7 linked regions of the Canis lupus familiaris genome follow. The protein of the gene in region 1 interacts with the protein of each later gene in a biochemical or structural test. Links are inferred from orthologs where the notes say so. Each region holds a gene or a part of one and is shown in the gene's direction. Other genes may lie near its edges. The genes, in order: UBE2D3, SH3RF1, MUL1, RNF146, PJA1, RNF114 and RNF34.

Region 1 (4,230 bases):
TTATGACACCTGAACTATACCACAAACCTGTAAAAAAAAAAAGGCTGCTATTATTATGTATAGTTCAGTGTAGGAAGAAACTAAGATGGTAAGCAACCACACAGTATCACACCAACGAGAATAGAGCAAGAACTCAAACCTGGATTTCACCCTCCACCCCAACTGCCTAATTCTGTGTTTCTACTCAAGTAGACCGGTTAAATCAGAGAACAAAGATTATTCTAGGAGAAGGGAAACAGGCTATGTGATGAGCACTTTAGTACTCTGCTATTCACGGGGCTGTACTCTGACCAGAATCATCTGTACCACCTGGGAGTTTGTTAAAACTGTGAAATCTCATGCTCCACCAAGGCCTACTACATCAAAATCTACATTCTGAACAAAATCCTTAGCTGATTCACAGAGATACTAGCTTGAGCAGGGTTTCACCAATTGCTCGAGTGACACTCCTCCTGACCACGTAAGCGGTATACATTAGCCCATTCATCACAGACCTACTTTAGCTTTTATTAGGTAATACTTTATTGTAACCAGAAATTGCTGCTTTTCTTTTTTTTTTAAACTATATTTTAAAAACAAGTTAATTTTCCTCTTTGATTCTTTAAAATATCCACTTCGTTAAGTCAGGAAATGTTCGAAAACTTTAAGCAGGTCAGCGCTTACCTTTAATCCTTTTAAAAATTACTGTCGTACCACCCCTTTGCCTGAAGGATACCCTAGAGAGCCAAACCACCTTCTCCATTATTTTACACCCGGCAGATTAAACAGGCCAATTCTGCTCTTCCCTTTCTGCCCGCCCCCGGATGTTTCAGTTAAGTAATACGTTTTTCTGACCCAAAACTCTGATCTTTTGAGTTTTGCAACTCTGTGGACCTAGAAGTTGAAACACGGCAAGAGGAAGAAGGAGGTGTTAAGTCTCTTCCCGTACCTCAATCCTGGCGGATGGTGACAGGCAAATAGCCTGCCCCTATTTCCCTACCCTCCACGTTAATCCATAGTTGAATCTGATGCCTAGACGACTGCGACTGGGAGGGGCTCTAGGAGGCCCCCTTTCCTCAGTACGGACCCTCTAGGTCAGAAACGCGCTGTGTCTCGGCACGTGAGAGCGCTCATCAGCGGTCCGCTCGGTTCTATTTACAACGAGTGTTGCACTTTGAGGGGTGCCTCCTCCCCCTGGTTAACGAGCCCGCACGGGCAGGCGAGTGCGGATATATTGCTCACCTGCTCCACCGAAATCTCGGAAGGCCCGGATCAACCTGGACTAAAGGTACCCGGTGATTAGCCCGTGGCACCTCCCGCCGCACATTCCTGATTGGGCGCGTGAGGGACGGACGCGCCGGCGCGCGCTCCAACCCGTCCGGGGAATTCCAGTTCCCCTCCCTCCCACCAGCAGAAGCATCCAGGGGCGGTGCTTCCCGACGACGGCCCGCCCCTACTCCAGCCGGTGCCTATTGCATCTCGCGAGAACTTGTAGATTCGGGGGGCGGGCCCCCAACAGGAAGAGCTCACGCAACTGCCCTTAAGTCATTGCAGGGCTATCGCTCCGGCTAGCCAGCCACGAGGTTCTCGCGAGATCCGCCGCCTCAATACCAAGTGAGGAAACTGGGGGACGCTGCTGGGAGGGGCGTGGGTCTCGACCGCGCAGCTGCCGCTTCCATTACCTTCCTCCCATGGTCTCCTTCCGGTTCTCGATGCTTCTCTGAGTCTGAGGGTTTCCGCCGCTCGTCCACCCTCCCCCCCCCCCCAGCCCATGACCCGCCTCCGGCCCCCGCCCTCCCAGTCCAACCTCCGATCTGTTTAGTAAGAAGGTGCTGTTCCGAAAAGAAGGAAGAGGGGGTAGCACAGATCAACTCGGTCCCGGACGTAGGAAGTAAACCGTCCCCCCGTCCCCCTTCGCTTCGTCCTGTGCTCGCGACGGCGGCGTTGGCGGACTGATACGCGGCGGTGAAGAGGCAGGAGGAGGGGGGAGGGGCGGAGCGTGGCAGCTGGCAGTAGTTCCGTCAGAGCGGACATCTTGTGGCTGTGTCGTGCGCGTGAGCCCCGTAGGGCCGGGGAGGCACCAGCTGCCGCGCGGGGAGGAGGCCGAGGCCGCAGCTTGAGGGAGGCCCCGGCCCCTCTGTACGCGTGGGTGTGGACGGCTAGGGGAAGGGAAGGGAGGCCGGCCCCCTGGCCGGCCGGGTAAGAGGGGAGATCCGGGCCTCGGGTGGCTGGAGTGACCAGCCTGTTGGGTGGGGTAGGGTGGGAAGGCTGGGGAAGCCGGGGCCTCGCCTGCCCAAGGGGGTGGGGGAATGGGCGCGTCCTCGCGCCCGAGCCGGAGCCTCAGGGGCAGCTCGGGCGCGTGGTGGCGGTGGCGGGGCGGGCGCGTGCGGGAGCGCGCTGGAAGGCGGAGTGTACGGTGGCGTCAGGGCCGACAGAATAGCTCTGGCTGCGGGGACGGCAACCTACAGCAAGTCTCTTTATTATTTCCTTCTCCTTCCGGGCCGCACCTTTGAGCAGAAACCGAAAGAACCCCGGCGTCAGTCCGGAGCCTCCAGTCTTCCCCCTCCCCCCTAGCCTTTCTTCGCCCTAGTGACGCCGGCGCAGCGCCGACTAGGCCCCGGCTCCTCCTCTGCTGGGCTCCGGACCCTGCCCCGCACCCACCCCTTTCTCCTACGCCTCTTCCTCTCCCACCCGGGTCTCTTTCGAGAGGCCGGGAAGTCAAACTTGTAGCCGCCCCCTCCGCTCTTCCCGTCACCCTCGCCGCCTCTCCGGGCCGAAGCACGGCATAGAGGCTGTTGGTGGCTTTGCCACGCCACCCCACCCACCCCGGATCGCGACCGTTTTAAGGGACCTGGATTCATCAGGGTCTCTCCGGGGCCTGTGCGAGTGCTGATCTGCTCCGTTTTTGCAAAAGGCGCCTGTGTCTGGCAGAGCCGGTGTGAGACGAAGAGAGACAATCCTTCCCTGCCGCCCGGGTAATCAAGAGTTTTGGCCGGACCTTTGAGCACACACCGAGAGAGTGAGGAGCCAGACGAAAAGCACAGACTATGGCGCTGAAACGGATTAATAAGGTAACCCACGGGGCTGAAGGGAAGGGGGTCGTGGGAGGAAACGAAGGCTCGGTCTCGGAGGAAAGCGTGGGGGTGGGGAGGAAGTATAATTAGGAAAACGTCTTTCCTTGGGTCACTTCTGTGGGGGGGGGGGGGATGGGAAAGAAAGGAGGCTTAAAGCTAGAGAACAGAACACTTGTGGCGAATGAGCTGTTTATCTTGAGTATGTTTCAGTTGGAGTCGGCCCAAATGAGGGGTGGGGGAGAGTGATTTTAGGCGCTTGGGTTTTGCTGCTAAAAAGAGTTTTTTAGTCTTGTTTGAGGGTCAGAATTGCCCAGAGACGCTCCCGCAGATGTCATGGCGCTCCCTAGTCTCGGTGCTTGAGAACTTTGGCTGTAAGATCAAGGTTTTCGGGTTTTCTAGGGGGAAGAGTCGTAGGAAACTCCTAGGGGAGGTGATAGAAATCTGGCGGGTCCTGAACCTAATTGGGGGTCGGTGTAGAAGTCTCTTGGCGGCTGAAGAGTAGTGACTGAACCTAGTTAAACTTCATCGACTCTGAGCAGGTTACACAAGAATAAGTGGGGCTGGGAAGAGATGGGCTGACACGATGTTACCACTTCCTATGTTTTGTAGTTGAGACTTCTCACTCGAATTTATAAGAGGGACGCTGCGAACTGGTGTAAAAGGCTTCTGGAAGCTCCCTTCTTTTGACTGGGGGGTGGGGGGGTGGGCGGTACGGGTGTGATGGCAGTAAGGGAAGGTTTGGTGTACCTATCTTTGTCTCGGCTGATTTTATAACACTTTCGGAGATGATTGGCTACTTGAAACGTGGTTTGATAGAAACTATTGATAGATAGAAGTTGAAAGAAATACGTTTTTTCGAGCCTGGGGGGGGCGCCGGGTGAGCGGAACCTTCACCTCCGGTGGTTTAGTCTCATTTTCTTGCTCTAACTTCTATCCCGCATTTTAAGATGGCGGCTGCTTTAACTGGTTCAGGCTTTTTCCGGCATCTCCTTTCGTCATTATATGAAATAATATTCTTTGTTAAATGTTAACTTTTACATCAGATTGTACACAGCTCTTGAGACGTCCTGCTGAAGACTCGATGTTCAAACTCTCAAACTGCATTTCCCTTTTTTGTAACTTGTGTATGTGTGGTGTATTTGGTTCTTGCACAATCGAGGAGGGTGGAGTATTTACA
Region 2 (3,500 bases), on another chromosome or scaffold:
TTAAGTGCTTTTAAGCCACCAAACATCCATTATTTATTGTAAAAATGCAATAGCAACCTTTCATTATGGTCTGATATAGTGAAATGACTCATGTTTTGGTGAGTAGCATTTATTATTAGAAAGTCGAACTTTGCTGTTTTCTCTCCTGTCATCTACTAGTGGCGGCACATAACCAAGAACGCCCTACGGCAGCAGTGACACCCATCCAGGTACAGAACACTGCCTGCCTGAGCCCTGCGTCCGTGAGCCTGCCTCATCATCCCTTGGCTTCCCCACAACTTCCAGTTCCAGTGGCAGGCCCTACCACCCATGTGGCTGCCGTCAATATGGGTCGAGTCAGTGCTCCCCTAGCTTGTGGTTCAGCTGCCTTATTGACCTCTCCGAGCATCACCACTGCCTGTCTGGAGACTGAGCCCAGTGGCCGGGCAGTGACTATTCTTCCTGGACTTCCCACCTCTCCTGACAGTGCTTCACTGGCTTGTGGGAACAGTTCAGCAACCAAGCCAGACAAGGATAATAAAGTAAGACCAACATCCCTCTCCTCTGCTTATGTTGTGTTCCATCCTTTCTAACTAATGAAAGGACTCGTTGTCCAACAATCCTTCAAGTGCTTACCATGTGTGAGTCACCATGCCAGGTGCTAGATTCATGATTTTTGTGCGTTGAAACACCCACTAGTTGCCAGGCCTTGTACTGGGTGTTTAGGGAAACCACAGTGAATAAGATTTAGCCATTTCTTCTGCAGCTTATGTCTCATGAAGGAATTTCCTTACTTCTTTAGTTAACTCATTTTTTCATCATTGTGCCATCCTTAATTCTTCCTATTCAGTCAGTTCTGAAAAAAAAAAAAAGGTAATATATGAAAGGGTTGGAATTGTTGATCAGAAGTGTTATTTGTGGATTTATTTTTTCTGCAGTGTATTTAATTATAATCAGCATGGATAGTGTTCCTCTTGATTTGAAGTATGGGTGAAAAATGATTTCCTAAATCTGTAGATCTTTTTTTTAAAAGATTTTCTTAATTTATTCATGAGAGACAGAGAGAGAGAGAGAGAGAGAGAGAGGTAGAGACACAGGTAGAGGGAGAAACAGGCTCCATGCAGGAAGCCTGATGTGGGACTCGATCCCAGGTCTCCAGGATCATACCCTGGGCTAAAGGCGGCGCTAAACCGCTGAGCCACCTGGGCTGCCCTAAATCTATAGATCTTTAAAAAATCTCTCATTTGGGGCTGAATTTCAAAGAAAATATAAATAAAAAGCTGTGGGTTTGAAAGACTAACGTGTTTTTGGGTTTGGAGACAGGTGGTTTGAGACAAGGGAAATTGATGGTGAGTAATCGTGAACAGAAATCGAAGTGATAACAAAGTCTGGATAATTGTATTACAATCAAAGGAAGTAGCAACCTGAGGAAAATCCTGTTTTCCTCAGTATTTTGTGTATTTTCTCCACAACTCTAGCCCGATTCTGGGAAGTTCTAGGGTAATCATAAACTCTTAACCATTTGGTTCGGTGGTAATGTACGTCGCTTATTTTAAGTGGTTAGGTAAGCCTGTAAATAGGAGTTTATAAGGAAATAAACTTTACAGCCTACTAAAAAGTTAATATTTAATTGTTCAGTTAACCTTAGTGTTTTTGAAAAAGATTGGTATCTGTTCAATGTTTATAATTAACTACATTAAACTTGTACTCAAGCTGACATGTTCAACTTTGTCAATATCTTTAAAGAATTGTTTTGTAGTTTAGAATTTAAGATTTCAGGACCCTCATCATTGAGAACAGGGGCTCTTAAACTCCTGTCCTCCCAGGAAAGAATTAATTGAATCACAGACTTGAAAGGGAGCTGTGCCAGAGAGAATAATGGCTCCCCAAAGATGTCCACATCCTAATTCCTGAAAGTTGAGAATATGTTTCCTTATGTGGCAAAACGGATTTTATCAATCTCTTGGGATGAGGGGATAAATCTGAGTGGGCCCATATAATCACATGGATCTTCCTGAAAGGGAGGCAGGAGGATTGGGTCCAGAGGAGATGTGACATCCGAAGCAGAGATCAGAGTGATTCAAGGAGGGAGCCACAAACCAAGAAATGCAAGCAGCTTCTAGAATCTGGAAAAGGCAAGGAAACAGATTCTTACCTAGGGCTTCTGTAAGGGATGTAGCCCTTGCTGAGACCTTAGTTTTAAAGCCTGATTTTTACCACAAAGTTTGTGGTAATTTGTTACAGCAACAATATAGGGCCTAACAAGTTACCTGTTGAGTCCCTGTCCTTGACAAATGGCCTCTGTTTGGACACCCTAACCAACCATTAATGCCTTAGGTCCAGAGTGTCCCATGCCATTTTCCTTATGTTGAGGGGCTGCATAGAAAATGTTGCTCTCCTTTCTATATGATGCCTTGACTTACTTGCAAGTTATCTTCTTTTTTAAGGCTATACTCTTGAAGTTTTTGTCACTAGTACTTATGTCACAGATTATAAATTTTCCTTCCTAAATCTCCTACCTCATTTAATGTTCCAGATCCACAGGGAGACTTCTCTTGGTTAATATAAAATCCATAATTCCATGACTAACATGACTGGAGTGTCATTTAGTTCACATTCCTCCATCAGGTCTATAAGGATATCATGGGAGAACTTATCAGATGCCTGTCAAAATCCAGATGTCTTTTATATTCTCCCATCCAAACTATTCCCCAGTCCTCCATCATTTTAGCTGTTACTCATGTTAGCAAGTGTCTCCTGAAGAAGTCTCCTCCTCAGAGTCTCATTTCCTTTCATTTAATATATTGTTCTAGAATTTTCCAGACAGTCTGCAAAGTACATTGTTGTCTTCTTTTTGAAAATTAGGATTATACATCCCTTATTGCCCTGTTGAGTTGACCTGATCTCAGGTTCACCCACATCTATCAAAGATTATTTGGTTGCATTTCAGCTGTTAATTTTCTCTGTATGCTGGGGTGAATTCATCCTGGCAAGTAATTATTGGATCTCTAAATCCCAATCTCTTCACCCATTTCCCTCTTATCAGGGTTTGGTCTTTCTAGTCTGAAGATTATCCTTCTCTTTCTTCTTATCTTCTGAGAACCACCATCCATCTCAAGCAGCAGGTCTGTATCTTTCCTGTTCTTCTCATTTCAAACATAACTTTAAGTCTACCCCCCCTTTTTTTTTCCAAGTTTAAGCTATTATGGGCCATAATACATTCTTTCTTATGGTCCCTTCTCTTGATCTTTTTGTATTGAGTCCTTTAAAAATTTGAGCCCATTAGGCCGCTCTCTGGGGGATCACATTAGCGCCGTTAGATGCCTCTACATTTTTATCTATTCAGATAATTTGCAGTAGTAATGTTGGAATTTCATTCTGGAGATCCCTCCCATTCTTCTTGAAGTATCTTTCCTTTTGAGTTCCAGGTCATTCATATATTTTCTTTGAACTTTTAAAATCAGTTCTTTTAAACTTCAGAGTTTAAATCTCACTATAGCCAACTTCTCTTTGGGTGCTTA
Region 3 (4,223 bases), on another chromosome or scaffold:
GGAGTCTCTGTCCCTGTACCTTTTTTTTTTTAAGATTTTATTTATTTATTCATGAGAGAGAGAGAGAGAGAGAGAGGCAGAGCCACAGACAGAGGGAGAAGCAGGCCTCACGCAGGGAGCCCGATGCAGGACTTGATCCCTGGACCCCAGGATCACATCCTTGGCCGAAGGCAGGCACTAAACCGCTGAGCCACCCAGGGATCCCCTGTCCCTGTCCCTTTGCCAACACAATGTGTTATTAACTTTTGGACAAGTTCCATTAAAAAAAAATAATAAAGTTAGGTTTAACTTTAAGTGTATGTGTGTGTACCAAATTCATGATCACCTCTTAGTTGAAAACCATCAAAAAGTATCTGGGGGCAGGAACAATCTGGAGATTCTAACCCCACGTTCACAGAAAAGCAATTCTCATTGGATTCCAAGGATAATTAAGGAATGTGGTAGGAAAATGTCACGGACAACCAATTTCTTTAATAAAGAGACTTTACTTTTGGGGAGCAACCTACAGATGTCAGATGCCTTTTACATATATATTGCTTTTGACCAGCGGGTACATTCCTACACCTCCAAGAATTTTTTTAAAGCGTAACCAGGAGGAGCTAACTTGGATGAACACCTTGATGTTTTGGGTCAGGTTTTGGGTTATCTTCTGATTATTTCAGTAAGGAGATCACTAAAGAGGTCAGAAGATAGTCTGAAATCGGCTCCACAGTCGTGGTGTGAGGATTAAATAGGATGTCTGTAAACACAGACACAGAAACAGGCACCATAAAGCAGCTGTAATTATTAGCTGACAAACAATAGGTTGTTATATGGGGGTGATGACAGATTAAGGGGCTACTTTGGTGATAAAATCTGCCTTCTTGGCTGTAAGGGCTCTGGGAGCCCAATAAATTCCTCTCTTGCACTCACCAGCAGTGCAACTGTGAGCACATCCCCTAATGTCCCCGGCCTCACTCTTCGCATCTGCAAAGTGGGAAGAAAAAAAAAAAAATTCCAAGGCTCAAGGTTTGCCCTGAGCTTAAAGGTGCAACACTCCCAAGGGCTTGCTACACACTAGTCCTCTTCTTTTCCTCCCCCCCTAAAGAGGCGGAGGTTTAGGAGTCTCATTAGTCTCGGTGGAGCCATCACGAGCCCATCAAACACCCCAACAATAACCCCAGGAAACCAGAGCGACCCGAGCACGACCAGCGCGGCTCCCAAGGGCAAAGGGTCACCAGAGACCCGCGATCTCGGACTTCCGGTCAGCCCCCTCGCCCCGCCTCTCGGCGACGGAGACCCCGCCCCCGCGGAGGCCGCCGCAGCCGGGCGGTCACCCGGGCAACGCCGCCTTCCGGTCCGCGCGGCCCCGCCCACTTCCGGCCCCGGCGTCGTTGCGTCAACGCCGGGCGACGCGGAGCGGGTCTCCGGAAGGGCGGCGTGGGGGGCGCGGTTCCGGGCGGAGGGCGGCGGAGCGTGAGGGCGCGCGGCCTGACCTCGGCGTCGCCGCGGGCACCCGGGGCTCCGCGCCAGCCATGGAGAGCGGGGGGCGGCCCTCGCTGGGCCAGTTCATCCTCCTGGGCACCAGCTCTGTCGTCACCGCCGTCCTGTACTCCGTGTACCGGCAGAAGGCCCAGGTCGCCCAGGAGCTCAAGGTCAGTGCTGGGGCCAGCCTGGCCTCCGCCGGCTCGACCCTGCCCCCCGGTAACGGTGGGCCCGCCCTTCGCCTCCGGCCGGAAACCGCCCCAGGGCGGAAACCGGCTCCTGAGAGGTGTCGCCCCGCCGGTCTCGGTGGGGGCGCGGCGAGCAGAACTCGGGTCACGTGATAACCGCTCCACCTGCCCCTCTTCCTCTCAGTCCCTCTCCTCACCCGGAATCGCGACTGGATTACATCATTCGACAAATTCTTAGCGGGCCGCCTGCTCTGCTCCAGGCCCTGGGGCTCCTGCACGGCTAGAAGAGACCAAAAGTCTCTGCCCTCATGGAGATTCCAGTCTGGTACAGACAGACAAGTACATCGGATGGGGTGACAGATGGGGAGGAAAATAGGACAGAATGAGGCGGGGAAGAGAGGAAATGCGGTGCCGGAGAAAGGGAGGTGTGCTATTTTAAAGAAGGTGACATTTAACAGAGCCCAGGAGGAGGTGAGGGAGACCGTGCAGGTGTCTGGGGGGAAGAACAGTTCAGATGGAGGGAACAGCAAGTGCAGAAACCCTAGACTTTGCCCATTTATGTAACCACTCAGTTCCTTGTTCCTACAGACTCTTCCTTTTTTGATGGTTTAGTTACTTTAAAAATAACACTTTCTTTCTTAGTCTGCCCTTTCCAGCTTAGCACATTCTCATCTTGTTTTTTTTTTTTTTTTCTCCTTCACAATCATTTTTTTTTTTTTTGAGGTATGGAAAATGACAGTCATCTCCAGATTGCAAATGGGGAAATTATTGAGACTCCCGGGAAAAGTCTTAACAGCTCCTCAAGTTGGAACTTAGGTCTTTGGATTCCAAGTGTGGGATTATTATTATTTTTTCTTTTCTTTTTTCCTTTCCTTTCCTGATTGACCGCATTGCTTTACTGTGACGGTCTGACTGGCCCATGAGAGATGGACCTCTTTAGGTCGGAGACAGGGTCTTACGTATGCTTTTTCTTCTAGGTTGTAAGTCAGTGCCTGACAAGTGGTAGACGCTCACCGAATGTTTGTGGATTCCTTTTGGCTGAAATGTCACGATACCACAGTTAGGGCTTCGCTTGACGTTTATTTGAAGGATTCCTAAACCTGGCTTAGTTCATTATCACCATATTGTTTTCAATAAAAGGGCTCAGGAACCAATGTGTGAAATCCCTGCCGTCAAGGGGAGTTTGGGAATGCATCTGGATCGAACCAGGTTACCAAGCAGTTAGATTTGTGGTGCAAATGGCGTCCTAGTGAGATTCCAGCTGCCCAGTTGTTTGATTATAAACAGGTTACTGCTGAAGTCATGTGCCAGGAGTGTAACTGATACTCCACTTTCTGACTCTAAAAGTCTGAAATCAGGTTGGCATCAAGCTGGCTGAATGTGGGACCTTTGAAGCAGTGAACTCTCCAGGATCTATTTTTGGGTGGCCTTAAAAGTTTTGCCAGTTAGTTCCCAAATGAAGTTGAAACAGCCCCTTCCTGGAAAGAGTTGGGATTCCTAATATTTTAGGTTCTGTTTTCTTGATCAGATTACAAAACTCGCAGAGTAGGTTTGAGTCTTAACCTTGTGCATCTCTCGTAGTGATGGGAATGCATATTTATTGCCTGCCTATTATGTGCCAGCCCCTGGGCTAGATTCCTTCACACCTTACACATCATTGAACACACATAAAAATCCAGTGATAGTTTTATCTCCATTTTTTTTTTTTTACAGCTTTGGCAATTGAGACTCAGGTAAATTAAGTTGCTCAAAGTCACAATAGATGGACTGAAGGTTGATTCAAGTGTCTTTCCAACCGTATTCCCTCTCCCCTTTAAAAAATTCTAACTGGCCATCCTGTGGTGGATGCTGTACCAGCTGTGTGACTTGGGGCAAAGCATTTCATATCTCTGAGCCTCAGTTTCCTTATCTGTAATTGGGGCTAATAATGTCTGCTGTATAGGGGTGGTAGGAGCATTGCATGAATTTACGCGTGTAAAGTGTTTAGCGTAGTGCCTGGTACATACAGTTGACCTTTGAACAACATGGGTTTGAACTGTGCAGGTCCACTTACACGCAGATTATTTTCAACAAATACAGTATTATAAATGTATTTTCTTATATTTATTTATTTATTAAAGATTTTATTTATTCCTGAGAGATACAGAGAGAGAAGCAGAGACACAGGCAGAGGGAGAAGCAGGCTCCCTGCGGGGAGCCCGATGCAGGACTCGATCCCAGGACCCTGGGATCACAACCTGAGCCAAAGGTAGACACTCAACCACTGAGCCACCCAGGGGCCCCTTCTCATGATTTTTTAAAAATATATATTTTTTAAATTTTATTTACTTATTCATGAGAATACACAGGAGAGAGAAGCAGAGACACAGGCAGAGGGAGACACAGGCTCCATGTAGGGACCCTGATGTGGGACTCGATCCCGGGTCTCCAGGATCACACCCCGGGCCGAAGGCGGCACCAAACCGCTGAGCCACCGGGGCTGCCCTAAAAAATATTTTCTTTTCTTTAGCTTGTTTTATTACAGGAATACAGCATATAACCTACAAAATGTGTTGATTAACTGCTTATGTT
Region 4 (2,873 bases), on another chromosome or scaffold:
CCTGATCAAGGGAAGGTCTGGTGGGGATGAGGCTGGTATGGGGGCTGAGGAGCGGGACCACTGCAGGACACAAACATCCTGGTCTTTATCCTGAAATCAACTTTTTAAGCAGGAGGTAAGACTGGAACAATTTAAAAGGCATATTCAGGCATTTAATGAACACTGTTTACTGGATGGCTAGGGCAGAGATGGACAGTAGATGGATTCAGGAGAGTGGGATCACATTGGTAAGACCTGCTGATGTTTTGGATGTGAGGAGTAGGGGAAGGGCAGTGTCAGTGATGGATTTCAAATGGCTTGAAAGAGCAGATGGATAATGTTATCCCTGGGGGTGGGGAGCTTTTAGGGAGTAAATAAGGAGGAAACAGATCATGAGTTTATTTTTGGCTTAACATTTGTGCTTCTCATTGCTCCCCACAAGTAAAAATTCATGACAGAAAAAAATCAAAGATTTTTCTGCACAAGTTAAATTCTTTTTCTTTTTTGTTTTCCCATTTTCCAGTGTGTAGCACACATATACAGTAGGTGCTTAATAAGTGTTTTCTGAATTGTTGAATTAAGAAATTGGAAGAGTTGAAACGCAGTTTTAATGTTACGTGTATCTGCTCTCCTTTTCTTAGGATGGCTGGCTGTGGTGAAGTTGATCACTCGATAAACATGCTTCCTACGAACAGGAAAGCGAATGAGTCCTGTTCTAACACTGCGCCTTCGCTCACTGTCCCTGAATGTGCCATTTGCCTGCAGACCTGCGTCCACCCCGTCAGTCTCCCGTGTAAGCATGTGTTCTGCTATCTGTGTGTAAAGGGAGCTTCATGGCTTGGAAAGCGATGTGCCCTGTGTCGACAAGAAATTCCTGAAGATTTCCTTGACAAGCCAACCTTACTGTCCCCAGAAGAACTCAAGGCAGCAAGTCGAGGAAACGGTGAATATGCGTGGTATTACGAAGGAAGAAATGGGTGGTGGCAGTATGACGAGCGCACTAGTAGAGAGTTGGAAGATGCTTTTTCCAAAGGTAAAAAGAGCACTGAAATGTTAATTGCTGGGTTTCTGTATGTTGCTGATCTTGAAAATATGGTTCAATACAGGAGAAATGAGCACGGACGTCGCAGGAAGATTAAGCGGGATATAATAGATATACCAAAGAAGGGAGTAGCTGGACTTAGGCTGGACTGTGACTCCAGCACGGTCAACCTAGCGAGAGAGAGCTCTGCCGACGGAGCGGACAGCGTGCCAGCGCAGAGTGGAGCTTCTGTTCAGCCCCTGGCGTCTTCTGCGAGGCCCCCAGCATCGGTGGATGGTCCCTTAACAAGCCCTGCCACGCCGTCCCCGGATGCGAGCACTTCTCTGGAAGACTCTTTTGCTCATTTGCACCTCGGTGGAGACAGCATAGCTGAAAGGAGTCACAGGGGGGAAGGAGAAGAGGATCACGAGTCGCCGTCCTCGGGCAGGGTCCCCGCACCAGACACCTCCGTGGAGGAGACCGAGTCCGATGCCAGTAGTGAAAGCGAGGAAGTACCTGCGCTTGGTGCACAGCACTCCTTGACCCACCAGAGACTTTTGGTTCCTAGTGTAAACCAGACAGTATCTGATAGATCAGATCGATCGGGGACTGATCGACCAGTCGCAGGGGGTGGAACAGTGAATGCTGGTGTCCGGTCTAGAAGACCTGATGGCCAGTGCACAGTAACTGAAGTTTAAATACGACAGTCTTCAGCTCCAGGCTCAAAGTTAAGGCAGCGCTCTGTAAATTTCTGCCCACGTAACATACTCGTCCCTGGTAGTGCGTTGTTGGGAGCTGGGGGGGGAAGGGGTGTGGGGAGGACAGACCTGTAATTAAAATGTCTAACGTGTCTCTGTTGAGGAATTTATTTAATATAAGGAACTTGGCGTTAATAGTTGAGAGCTGTTTAGTAATAACCCAGTTTTCTTGAGGTCTGTTTATTTTATAGTTTTTAAAAGTTTCTTCAGTTCCTTTGGCCAGCGTGTGTGTATTATCTGTGCATTAACAGTCCTCATCTGACTCTTGCATTGTGTCTTACTTTTCTGCATGGATTGACGTAAAACCATTACTAAAATCTGGCACCTCTGAGGTGTCTGGTATCGGTATGAGCAGGAAGCTTAATGTGAGAATAGATGTGAATTCGGGATTTTAAAATAGATGAATAACAACTATTAAATAGTAAAGTTACCGAAATGGAAGTGTAAAGAAAACAGCTAATAACTCCTGTTTCAGAATCTTGTCTGTAACATACTCCATGGCATTTCCCATAGGCTCTGCTGTCTGGTCCTTGTAGTTTGAGGTTTCTCTTGACCTGCATTTTTCTTTTTGATTACAGAATTTATAATTTAATAAATACTAGAGTTTACCAAAAATAACTTGTCCGTTGTCTGAGTGTGGAAAGAAGATGAAAACATTTTGACATTTGTGGCCAAAGGTCAGTAACCAGGTGGTGATTTGAATCGGTTGTGCTCAGCTTATTCAGCTGCTCAGAAGCTTGGTTTTTTAACCGACTCCACAAGCAATTGCGTGCAATAAATACGTATGGAAGTAAACCTAACGCTCGGGGGACCTAGACGTCTGACGTAACTGGTAACAGGCACCACGCACCCTGTAGACTGTCATTGCCGGCCACCATTAGTGGCTTGACGCTAATGAATCCAACGGTAGGTTTATTTATAAACAGCATTAGTAGACACAAACTTAAAACGTAAAATCTGTGGCAAAATAAGTCTTGGATTAACTTGGTGATCCCGAATTTGGTTCCGAAAAATGGTAATGTTTGTCTTAATATAGTTTAACTCAAAACCGTAGGATTGTGTTGAAGCGTATGCAGGTTATTTTTAATGTTTTTCAAATGTGAATTAAATGTTAC
Region 5 (4,081 bases), on another chromosome or scaffold:
CTTTCTTGCTTTTCTTTTTTTCTTTTAATTCCTCCCTCCTCACTCCTTCCTTTCCTTCCTTCTTCATTTCTTGTGGTATTTAACTGGCATATATTTTCCATTTCTATATCTGCTTTAAGTGAAACTCATATAAACAGCATATAATCAAATTTGAAGAAAAACAAAATACTTAAAATGAGAGTCTGCCTTTTATTTTTTAAAGATTTTATTTATTCATTCATGAGAGACAGAGAGAGAGAGAGGCAGAGACATAGGCAGAGGGAGAGGCAGACTCCTCACAGGGAGCCCGATGAGGGACCCGATCCCTGAACCGGGATCACGCCCTGAGCCAAAGGCAGACACTCAACTACTGAGCCACTCAGGATTTCTGAGAGTCTGCTTTTTTTTTTTTTAATTAGTGTTAATCCATACTATATACTGATATATTTGGATTTATTCCTGCCCTTTGGGTCTTAAAAAATAGCCTTTCTTGTTGCCTCCCACCTCACTTCTGCAGTTTGATAGATTGAATTTTTCTCTTTGTTCGACATATTATTTTTTTAGTGGTTTGTTACACATACATCCTATTCTTATTATATTTGTTACCCTAATGTTTCCTGTCCTTGTATTGTGCATTTTGTTTCCAAGAACAAAACTTTGCTATTGTCGTGAACATGGAGAGTCTTTACATTCCATAAATATTAAAGATGCATTGTAAAGTGCAATTAATAAAAGAGTTCAGAATTCTGTAAAATTATACAAATCCAAAAGGTATAGCTATAGTATTTTTAAACTGCAATGAGATTACCAGGTTGTGAGTCGGTATTACGCTTCATGACTGATCATTTCTTTTGGATAGAAAAGGTTGGTTTCGTTAACAGAGAAAAAAAATTAACAGCAACAAATTCTACTGTAAACAGTTCAATTGCTTCAATTACCAGGTCAAAAAAAAAAATGAACCTGCAACTCTAGATAAAATTTCACATTTTTTTATGCTTCTAGTACAAACCATGCCATATAACATAGGATATGATATATTATTGTAATTACTTGAACATCAGAATTAATCAGAAAGAATTTGTCGACTTCATCTTTAAAAAGGGGGAGAAAACCCCCAGAACAGAAGAGGGTATGGCTAAATGTTTAACATTTGCTAAAGCTGGCTGTTGGTTACATTTTTTGCTGTCCTTTTCTGTATCCTTGACGATTTCATCATTTAAAATGAAATCATGCTCTCGGGCCCAGCCTGATTGGTGGAGAGCAGCTGCCGCCCCGCCACATCGAGGGGGCGGGCCCGGCGACGCCACCGGCACTTCCTCCGCCGCAGTCGCCGCCTGCCCGGCTGCTGTCTGGCGGGGGAGGAGCTGGAGACCCGGAGCAGCCCCGGCGGCCCTGACGCTCGGCGGCCCGAGAGCTCCGCTCGCCCGGAGGAGCGCGCGGCTGTCAGCCCTGGGTGAGTGGAGGCTGTTTCCTCAGTTCATCCGGAAGGGGCGGCGGGGCAGGTGGCGGGGCTTGGGGACGAGGGTTCGGGTCCTCTAGCGAACAGATCTTCAGGCGCGCCCCTTGGGAAGGGGTGGGGTGGACGCAGGACCTGCCTGCAGAGTGAGGCCTGTATCCCCCGACCTGTTCGGGGGCGTCATCCTCCATCTCCCAGCCCCCTTCGCGTGGCGTGGCCCCTACTCGGATGGCTTCAATTGCTGTTTGAGAGGGGAGTGGGGGTCCGGGCCCTCCCCTACTTCTTCCCTCCTTGGTCCCTTTACAGAGCACTCCATGTCCTTTCTTCCCCCATTTTGCAGTTGTTTTTCCTGAATGGCAAATTGTTCAGATTTGTAGGTAAATATATTATCGTTCCCAGGAAAAAGAATTGTCTGAGAAACCAGTTATTACCAGGGAAAAACTAGACCCTTGCCTGCCTTTCCTTTCTTTTATTCCCCTTCCCTGGCCATCGGTTTGGAGTTGCCAGTGTGAGCAGTAACGTTTTGCCATCTCTCTTTATGACACTGTGACCCCCTCCCCCTCCCCATGTCTCGCATGTGTGGGCAGGGACATACACAGACACATGCATACATGGTGCGCGTGCACATGCACGCACACGTACGCAGGCATACATACAGACACACACACAGAAACCTCTCGTTGCAGCCCCCTCCCTGCACCCCCCTCATACTCAAGGTTTTGGCACATCCTCTTCCCCTTGAGGACGTGGACAGACACACATACACACACTCTTGCACAATGTCACACCCTCCTGTGCCTTTCCCTGCTTCTCACTGCCTGCCACATACTCACCTCCAGAAGCAGCCCCCTCCTTCTTCTGCCTCTGTGTGAGCACACACACACCACACACACCCCTTCTGGGGCTGCCCTAGCCCTTGCCTGCCACACACATGACGATAGCGTTTGATTGCTGGCTCCTCTTTCATGTGCCACATACATACATACATATATATGCACGCACACACTCTCATTCACACAGCCCTCACAGATGCTCCCAGCCCTGCTCCCCATCTGCTACATACGTGCATAGACAGCCCTCCTTTGCTGGTTCCTGCAGTGCAAACACTCACATAAATCCTTCTTTGGGGACACCATCACCCCCCAGCTAGCCACATTCGTGAATACACATATTTCCCTGATTGCTGGCTCCCTATTCCACCCACCAGCCACCCTCACATCCCTCTCCTGTGCTGTCCCTCTCGTGGATGCGTTCACTCACACTGACATTCTCCACTGTTGCCTCCCATTTTGCTGAATACTCACAGACCGTGGCCACCCTTGTCCAATGCTACCAAACCCTTTCTTGCCTGCCACAGACACGTAAACGGGCTCCCTCCACAGAGTTGCAGCCACTGCACATATACAGCCACACATGCACATTCTCTTTCTGTCATGCTTACACATACCCCTCTCCTCTGAAGCCACCCCCCACCCTGGCACCTGTCATTTCCCTACCCACATCCAGAATGGGTGTCCTTCTGTCTGACACTAACGCCTCTTCCCAGTACACCTGTCCCCTCCCCCTACAAACATGCATCTCTTCATTGCATGATGACTGCCCCCCCCCTTCCACCTGTCCCTCTCCTCCTGACAGACACGTTAGGCATTCATGAACACATGGTGATCTCTTTTTCACCCCATCCCAATTTGCATTTCTCCTGTCTGTCTGCAGGGCTCAGAAAAGATGCAGATACCCCATAAGATAACCACAACAATCTTTCCTCTTCCACATTGGCCTAATTTCACACTACTTCACCCACCTTCCTAGCATCCAGGCACCCCCATCTTCTGTCAGATTCTCCCCCAAGTCTGGCTCTCCAACCAACCCAGCTTTGTAATCATTTTGCCAACATTAAAAATGTGTTCCAGGTCTACACCTGACAGTCACTGGAATGCTACTTCAGGCCTTAGAAGAAAGTGAAACTAATTGTAAAGGCCCCTTATCCTTTCTGTTACTGCCTGCTGAAGTGAAAATAGATCTCCCTGCTCTTTTATTCTGAACTGATTTGACTTTCCCATCTCCCAAGCTTGTGCAGGGAGCAGGAGCCTTTCCGCTCAAGCCCCAGCTGTATTGGAAACCCTCCTAAGTCAGAGCCATGGGTCAGGAATCTAGCAAGCCCGTATGGCCCAAGCCAGCAGGAGGGTATCAGTCCAATACAGGCAGGAGGTATGGAAGAAGGCATGCTTATGTCAGTTTCAGGCCATCCTCGAGCCAGCAGGACAGGATTTCCAGCCAGAGAAAGACAACATCCGAAGTCCCAATGCACAGATCAGCCCCCAGTCAAACCACCAAGAGGAGCCGGTCACCATTTTCCATCACCCGTCGTAGTTGGGAGGACAGTGAGAGCTCTGGAGCCAGCCTGAATGTTGATAATGAGGACTACTCCAGGTACCCACCGAGAGAGTACAGGGCTTCAGGTAGCAGAAGAGGATTGGCTTATGGACATGTTGACTCTTTTGGGGCAGATGATAGTGAGGAGGAGGGGGCTGGGCCTGTTGAGCGAGCACCAGTTAGAGGGAAAACTGGCAAGTTTAAAGATGATAAGCCCTACGACCCAGAGAAAGGGGCCAGGTCTTTGGCTGGGGTGGCTCCACAGTTCTCTAG
Region 6 (3,500 bases), on another chromosome or scaffold:
CATCTTCCAGTGGTCTTCATATCATGGTCCCAAAGGCCTCCTTTCTGCTTTTTGGAAATCCCTTTGTACTTGGTATATCCTCTCTTTGTGGAACTTTTTGTGTCCAAGTTCGTGTGACTGTCTCCTCGGAGTTTTAGGTCTTAGCTCAAATATTGCCTCCTTAAAGAAGCTCAGTATGATCCACCTTGGCTGATCTCTTTGCCTTGTTTTATTTCCTTCCTATACTTTTTAAAAAATATTTTATTTTATTTATTCATGACAGAGAGAGGGAGGCGGAGACACATGGAGAGGGAGAAGCAAGCTCCACGCAGGGAGCCCGACAGGGAGCCCGACGACGTGGGACTCGATCCCTGGTCTCCAGGATCACACCCCAGGCTGAAGGTGGCGCCAAACCGCTGGGCCATCAGGGCTGCCCTATTTCCTTCCTATACTTAAATCACTATCAGAAACTAACTTTTTTTTTTTCCCCTCCACTTTGGAATACAAGCATTAGGAAGACAGGGATTTTGTTTCTTTCTCAACTTTGCTCTCAGTGGTAAATCATTAGGGCCCCTCAATTTCTCCCAGCCTGTTTTATTTTGTGTGGCAGTGTTAACATCTAGCTTTATCACAAAGAGGAAGAAAATACTTAGATATGGTAAAAATTTGTCAGATGGCATAGGTTACCTTTGATTATACATCCTGAGTTCTTCCTGGCAAGTTTTGTTATCTTGCCTTAAATCCCAGGTCAGGTATGTAGCCAGGCTGTTTCCATCCCTTTATTGTCCTTTCTTTCTGTATACCTTATCTCAGCATCACTCCCTGCATAGGTTTCAGGATAGAAACTTGGCCTTTTTTGACTTTCCTTCTCCAAATTTAGTAAGTTCCCAAGTATTACTGACTCCATTCTGAATCATTTCCTGAGTTAATTCTCTGTTGCCTCAGGCCCTTAGAATTCCTTGCCTTTAAAAAAAAAAAAAAAAAAAGAATTCCTTGCCTTAGCCAATCTGTTTGGTTTCTACTTCAAGGCTCCTGTCTTTTCTCACCTAAAAATATTTTTTGAAAACCAACAACTCTCTTGTCCATGATAACCTCAGCTATTTTTCTAAAACTTGGATTTGGCCTTGTTGATATCTTTAAACATCTGGGTTCCTACCATTCATGAGGAAAGATGTTAGACTTTTATTTCCTTAGGTGCGTCATGAATTTTTAAGTCTAAGTGCCTGGAATGCTTTTACCTTCCTCTGCCAGCTGAGCTCTTTTAAGGCTGTTTTGTGAATGCTGCTTCTGAAGTCCTACCAGCACTGTCCTTCTTGGGTCACAACTAGGTGGTCTTATCTCTGTCTTCTCATAGTGTTTTACATTCACCTCTGATGATATAGCACCTCCTATTTGTGGTGCATTTCATATGTGTTTAACACTGTACTGAGGGGCTGCTAAACATACTCCATTCCAGTAATCCCAGAGGTGGCTACTACTGTCTCCATTTCACAGAGGAGAAACTGAGATTCAGGAAACCCCACCAAGATCCCTCAGTGGCAGGTGCTAAGGTTTGAGGACTGTGCCACAAAACCTTTTCACTGTGTATCATGATAGTTTGTGTTTGTTTCTGTTGTTGGACCTGTGTGTTCTTTGCAGGACACTCCCCCATCCCCTTCCTGGCACGGGAAGACTCAGTATTTGAATCAGGAACAGGGAGCAATATGTTTATAATCCATTATTCATTGATGTCTTTTTAAAAGTTTATCCATTTTTGTTGTCTTGTCTCCACAATGCATGACGCAGGTTCTCTGTATGTCTTGTTCTAGCTTTTGCTCTGCATGCCTGCAGGAATGTCTGAAGCCGAAGAAGCCTGTCTGTGGGGTGTGTCGCAGCGCTCTGGCACCTGGCGTCCGAGCCGCGGAGCTCGAGCGGCAGATTGAGAGCACAGAGACTTCTTGCCATGGCTGCCGTAAAAATGTATGTGGAAGTAAAATGGAAGAGTCAGTGTCTTTCTGCAATGAGAGGGGGTAAAACGCAGAGCTGTTGCCACGTTGTTCCTGAAGTTAGAGCATGACTAGGTGACTTACAGCACGTGTGCATGCTAGTTATCTGTGGCAATGGCTGTGCCGGTTCATCTTAGTGACCTTATTGGTTTTGCTTTGTTCTTTTAACAGTTGGTTTAGTGTATTATATCTTGTAGCTTTGAAAACCATAGAAGTCCATTATCCTAGTTTTTTCCCTATAAAAGAGCCACTTTTCCAAAGCAGTATGTGTAATTTCCATTAGAATGTAATGACAGAATGCTATTTCTTAATTTTTTTAAGTGTAAAATAAGATAAACATCTCGAAGTTACCTGCTGCAAAAACAAAAACAAAAAAAAAAAAAAGGAAGTCACCTGCTGCAGTGAGCTAGAGGGGAAATTTTACAATCTTTATCATTATAGATATAAAAAATATTTGAATTTTTTAGTACTTGACAGGGAGGAATCATGACATAAAGATTAGGATGAAATTATGTGATTGTAAAAACAATACCTAACATTCGAAATGCACCCGTGCTTTTTTGTATAATCATGCTAGAATCAAGTGTATTTCAACATCTATTATAATTATAAAGGAGAAAAACTACAATCTCGTTTTCCAAGCTATACACACACACAGTCTTACAGGTTTCAAAATTATGATTCTGTTCATTTCAGACCGTAAAGCATATGAAATACTGTAGGCTTGTTTCCCACTCCAGAGATTACCTGTTTAAAAGTGATTGGGTTTAGAAGGCTGCAAAATATTTTCTGCCCTTTGACAAACACAGATGTAGGAATTTTACAAAATAGGAGCATACTCTAGTTCTAGAGCTTTTTCTCACTTTTGAAAAATTTTTTTCACTTAATGACTTACTAGACAACCTGTCCGTTTCATTACTAACATATTAGTATGGATGGCCATAGAATGGATATACTTTACCTTCTTTCTTTCAGAGTGATTTAGCACTAGGGCTGCAGAGTGACTATCATTCTGAATAGGGCTGTTTCCTATCCCTTTTAATTGGGAGCTCTTTGGTTGGCAGCTTGAAGTCAAGTTCTTTAGCTAGAGGTAAGACAGAAGGGAGCATTATGGTAAGCTGGAGCTCAAATAATGAAGCTTTCTTTTTTTTTCTTGTGGTTTCCTTTCATTTTGAAACTCAGGATATTGAAATGAAATTACCCGTTACTTTATCCTTGTACTACATGCATGATGGATTTTTTTGTTTTATTCTGTATACTTTTGATTTTTCTCCATTTTTAAAGATTAGTTATTATATTGTATTATATTTCCAGGTGTACTACTATACCTCCAAAAATGTCTTATCTTCCCTTTACCTCTTCTCTTTCTTCATTCCTTATACTTTTCCTTTGCTTTTAGAACACCTGCGATGAAGCACTCTCCTCTAGGTTTTCTTTCTCTTTCCATCTTGCAAGGACTAGATTTTATAGGGGAAATGGAATTCAGATTTCAGTTTTTTTTTAAGATCATTTATCACAATGTGGCATTCTGTAACT
Region 7 (3,500 bases), on another chromosome or scaffold:
ACAAAGAGAATGAAGAAAACCAAAAGTCATGTAGGTTTCCTTTTTCTTTCTTCCCCCATACTATCCTTCTTTAGTCTTTTAAAAATTGGGTTGTTTCTATCACAATGAGGTCAAAATTTTTCACAAAACTATGTATCCTTTTATTGAGTGAATTAGAGGTATGAACTTGTTAATTAGTAAGTTTATTATGTGATGTTGGCTCTGAAACCACCATTGCAAGTGAGTTAGGTCATTTGTTGAGTCTGGTTTTCTTTGCCATAATTTGTTAGAACTCTAATGCACTCCCTTGTCTCTATGAAAATGCATGTTTTCTCACTAACCTGGCAGGCCAATACTTTGGTTATCTCAACTGTAGCTTTTAAATCCTAACTGCAAAAAAAAAAAAAAAAAAAAATATTACCTAGAGCCAAGATGTTAAGTAGTTCTTAGCATCGAGTATTAGGTTTCTCTAGAAGTTGGGAAAAGCTGAAGTTAAGAATTCCAAAACTATTTATTGATGAGGCATGGAACAGAAATCCTTAGTCGGTAACAGGGCCAAGCCATAGAGCATTTATAGGCAAGAAAGAATATTTCAATGGTGTTTAGACTGACAAATATGTTCCTATCTAAACAATCCTCCCACTAACTTTTATCATCGTGAGGGTTTTTTTTTTTTTCCCTTCAATCTGGTTATAATGCAGCAATTATTGGTAAACAGCTTTATGCCTGAATATGCGGGAAGTATTTTGGCATACCTATTTCCTAAGATGAGGCCACAAGGGTAGATACAAGAATCTTAAGCCTCAGAGCCTTCAGAGGTCCCAGACTGTGGCTGGGAAATGGCATTCTGGTAGTGAGGGGAGAAATCCGTTTATTTAATAAGTGTAAATGCCAAGCGTGTACAGTACGCTCTGGTCATGCATAGCCATTCATTCCCACCCTCCGGGAGTTTATGGTAGAGGAGGCCATGACATACACATTTGCCAAAGTGCCTTTTTCAGTTACCTCACTGCTTACTCTCTCCCTGGTTCAACCTCCAGACTTGTGGAATACTCAAAATGAGTACAGTTGGAATCTTCCCTACTTTAATTGTCTTCAGTCACTTAGATTGAGATATTCACCTCTATAGCCTTACCTAATAGCCTTGATAAACCCTGGCTCCTCTGCTTTATGCTCAGAACTTGTGACTCTTGGAAGGAAACTTCCATGCAGGGGAGGGGACCAAAGCCTAGACTCTGATTTACTCAAGAGCCCTCTAGGGTCTTCTCCACTGGCTCATCAATTGTCTTATCCCATGAATCCTTTTTTTCCCTGGTTTACAAGAATCTTTTGAAATGGCATTATTCTCTTAAATCCAGAGACTACTGGCCCTTCAATAGTGAATTCCTGTTCTTTCTAACTATAATTGTGATATATTCCCATCGATCCTCTGTAGATCTCCCTAAAGAAAAGGAAGCCTCTGTATCCTGAGCTCTGGGGCCAAATCTTGGGCTGAGGTGAACTTTTAAACTCATTCACCACCTTTCTTATTCAGAGCTTAGATTTTCTCAGAACCTAAATCTGGGTGGGCCTCAGAGCCAGGATAGCCGGTCTGTTTGCAGTTAGACTCCAACTGGTTTTCCCCCAAGTACAGGCTACTTGACGTATGACTCTTCAGAACTTTTCTATCAGTGTGGAAATAAAGTTCTTCCTACTGAGATGAAGCTCTGGAGACTGACTTTTCCCAAGGCCACACAGTTGGGTGGGAAATTCCAGTCATGTTCTCTGAGGCCCGTGTATAGAGACAACCTTAGGTCTCTTTATTTTCACTTACAGAAGTAATCTGTTCTTCTCACAAGAACTTTGAATTACAGCTATAAAATAGAACTAAGTAGCTAATATTTGTGGGCACTTCATACCTGGCCCTAAGCTAAGCATTTCTCATGTATTCACAAAACTCTACAAGGTATAGGCATTATTACTACTGCCATTGCTAGTGGAGGGAATGGAAGTGCAGAGAAGCTGGATTATTTTTTCACGACACCGGGTTTATCTGGGGCCCGCCGTGGTCTCTCCAGATGACTGGTGAGGGCACCCCCCCCCCCCCGCCAATCAGGCAGCACTGTGTCCACAGCCCCAGCTCTCTGTTGCCTTTCAGATGGCGAGCGACTGCAGCTGCAGGATGAGGAAGATGATCGCTTGTGCCGTATCTGCATGGATGCCGTCATTGACTGTGTCCTGCTTGAGTGCGGGCACATGGTCACCTGCACCAAGTGTGGCAAGCGCATGAGTGAGTGTCCCATCTGCCGGCAGTATGTGGTGCGCGCCGTGCACGTGTTCAAGTCCTGAAGCCTGGGTTCTTCCCGACAGGACACTCGCCCCCAAGCTCGATCCCAGACATTTCAATATACAGGAGTGCCTGGAAACTTCCTGTACAAAGGCTGAAACTTTTTTTTTTTTAAAGATTTATTTATTCATTTATTTATGATAGGCAGAGACACAGGAGGAGGGAGAAGCAGGCTCCATGTCAGGAGCCCGACGTGGGACTCGATCCCAGGACTCCAGGATCGCACCCTGGTCCAAAGGCAGGCGCTAAACCGCTGAGCCACCCAGGGATCCCCTGAAACTATTTTTAAAAATTATTTTCACTACTAACTGGGGACAGAAAGATTCATCCTAAGTTGTGGCAATGTTGGTATGTGCCATGTGCCTGCCAGCTTGGGGACACGCCATTTCCCAGGTTCTGCGGGGCTTCATCCCACATCTGTGATCACTGATTGTTGATGAAGGCAGACTGCTCACAGCATCAGCTACTCTCTCCGGAGAACATTTATCCTGTTCTCTATTTCTCCTTCATCCTATTTTTAACTTAAACTACTCAGATGTTTGAAACTTCTGTTCTCTTGGATGAGATCACTGTCCACAAGTGGCCAACATGGTACACACTGAGCAGTGGCCCCTCTGAATGTTCACTTTATTAGTCATGTATATTTTAAATGCTACTATTTGATGAATGTAAGTTTCCACATTGTTGCTATTTCTGCGTTTAAACATAATTGGGAACAACTGACATTCTGTAGTCAACTGCCAGGGCCTTAGACTTAACATGTCCATTTCTGTTCAGGTACAGCTTTTTAGAGCAAGGGCTGCATCTAGCTGCTTTCATTAGAGAAGTGTGTGTGTTAAATTCTTAATGTTGAACCAGTTTACACTGTTTTGTATAGTGAAAGTGTATTTTCAGTGCTACCGCTAGCTAATTTAACTTTAGGAATAAAATTAGATTTTAAAAAATGCTTTTGCTTACATTGTCCTACTTAGTTCCTAATTTATTTGGGTACAGCATGAATGGGTATCTGCATCTGATCCAGCACCTTTCCTGGCTGCTGATGTACCACTAGCTTAACTATTGATTTGCTGTTTATTGTGACCAAGTATTATGCTGGGGGCTTTCTAGTTCTCCAGCATTCTGAAATTGCTGTTGCCTTGCTTCACAGATGGGGAACCTCTGGGAAATTAAAGAACTTGTCTGAAGTCTTAGAAAG

Evidence for each region.
Region 2: the proteins of UBE2D3 (region 1) and SH3RF1 form a complex in vitro, tested with the Homo sapiens proteins (2 studies listed by BioGRID). The link is inferred for Canis lupus familiaris from reciprocal best matches to the Homo sapiens genes UBE2D3 and SH3RF1.
Region 3: the proteins of UBE2D3 (region 1) and MUL1 form a complex in vitro, tested with the Homo sapiens proteins (3 studies listed by BioGRID). The link is inferred for Canis lupus familiaris from reciprocal best matches to the Homo sapiens genes UBE2D3 and MUL1.
Region 4: the proteins of UBE2D3 (region 1) and RNF146 are reported together in a solved structure, tested with the Homo sapiens proteins (2 studies listed by BioGRID, with this or other methods). The link is inferred for Canis lupus familiaris from reciprocal best matches to the Homo sapiens genes UBE2D3 and RNF146.
Region 5: the proteins of UBE2D3 (region 1) and PJA1 form a complex in vitro, tested with the Homo sapiens proteins (2 studies listed by BioGRID). The link is inferred for Canis lupus familiaris from reciprocal best matches to the Homo sapiens genes UBE2D3 and PJA1.
Region 6: the proteins of UBE2D3 (region 1) and RNF114 form a complex in vitro, tested with the Homo sapiens proteins (2 studies listed by BioGRID, with this or other methods). The link is inferred for Canis lupus familiaris from reciprocal best matches to the Homo sapiens genes UBE2D3 and RNF114.
Region 7: the proteins of UBE2D3 (region 1) and RNF34 form a complex in vitro, tested with the Homo sapiens proteins (2 studies listed by BioGRID). The link is inferred for Canis lupus familiaris from reciprocal best matches to the Homo sapiens genes UBE2D3 and RNF34.

Annotation. Positions count from the first base shown.
Region 1 is NC_049253.1:15,659,361-15,663,590, forward strand, and holds the start of UBE2D3 (ubiquitin-conjugating enzyme E2 D3), read left to right. Parts: upstream 1-1,430; 5' UTR 1,431-1,593; exon of another isoform or gene 1,594-1,632; intron 1,633-1,742; exon of another isoform or gene 1,743-1,952; intron 1,953-1,960; exon of another isoform or gene 1,961-2,178; intron 2,179-2,893; 5' UTR 2,894-3,026; coding exon 3,027-3,050; intron 3,051-3,780; exon of another isoform or gene 3,781-4,177; intron 4,178-4,230. UniProt on the Homo sapiens protein: Accepts ubiquitin from the E1 complex and catalyzes its covalent attachment to other proteins. In vitro catalyzes 'Lys-11'-, as well as 'Lys-48'-linked polyubiquitination.
Region 2 is NC_049246.1:20,140,973-20,144,472, reverse strand, and holds part of SH3RF1 (E3 ubiquitin-protein ligase SH3RF1), read left to right. Parts: intron 1-159; coding exon 160-521; intron 522-3,500. UniProt on the Homo sapiens protein: Has E3 ubiquitin-protein ligase activity. In the absence of an external substrate, it can catalyze self-ubiquitination. Stimulates ubiquitination of potassium channel KCNJ1, enhancing it's dynamin-dependent and clathrin-independent endocytosis.
Region 3 is NC_049223.1:77,793,427-77,797,649, forward strand, and holds the start of MUL1 (mitochondrial ubiquitin ligase activator of NFKB 1), read left to right. Parts: upstream 1-1,423; 5' UTR 1,424-1,514; coding exon 1,515-1,634; intron 1,635-4,223. UniProt on the Homo sapiens protein: Exhibits weak E3 ubiquitin-protein ligase activity. E3 ubiquitin ligases accept ubiquitin from an E2 ubiquitin-conjugating enzyme in the form of a thioester and then directly transfer the ubiquitin to targeted substrates.
Region 4 is NC_049222.1:66,568,566-66,571,438, forward strand, and holds the end of RNF146 (E3 ubiquitin-protein ligase RNF146), read left to right. Parts: intron 1-620; coding exon 621-1,698; 3' UTR 1,699-2,373; downstream 2,374-2,873. UniProt on the Homo sapiens protein: E3 ubiquitin-protein ligase that specifically binds poly-ADP-ribosylated (PARsylated) proteins and mediates their ubiquitination and subsequent degradation. May regulate many important biological processes, such as cell survival and DNA damage response.
Region 5 is NC_049260.1:53,797,515-53,801,595, reverse strand, and holds the start of PJA1 (E3 ubiquitin-protein ligase Praja-1), read left to right. Parts: upstream 1-1,281; 5' UTR 1,282-1,432; intron 1,433-3,345; 5' UTR 3,346-3,572; coding exon 3,573-4,081. UniProt on the Homo sapiens protein: Has E2-dependent E3 ubiquitin-protein ligase activity. Ubiquitinates MAGED1 antigen leading to its subsequent degradation by proteasome. May be involved in protein sorting.
Region 6 is NC_049245.1:37,091,743-37,095,242, forward strand, and holds part of RNF114 (E3 ubiquitin-protein ligase RNF114), read left to right. Parts: intron 1-1,787; coding exon 1,788-1,938; intron 1,939-3,500. UniProt on the Homo sapiens protein: E3 ubiquitin-protein ligase that promotes the ubiquitination of various substrates. In turn, participates in the regulation of many biological processes including cell cycle, apoptosis, osteoclastogenesis as well as innate or adaptive immunity.
Region 7 is NC_049247.1:7,980,878-7,984,377, reverse strand, and holds part of RNF34 (E3 ubiquitin-protein ligase RNF34), read left to right. Parts: coding exon 1-30; intron 31-2,116; coding exon 2,117-2,248; coding exon of another isoform or gene 2,249-2,307; exon of another isoform or gene 2,308-3,251; intron 3,252-3,500. UniProt on the Homo sapiens protein: E3 ubiquitin-protein ligase that regulates several biological processes through the ubiquitin-mediated proteasomal degradation of various target proteins.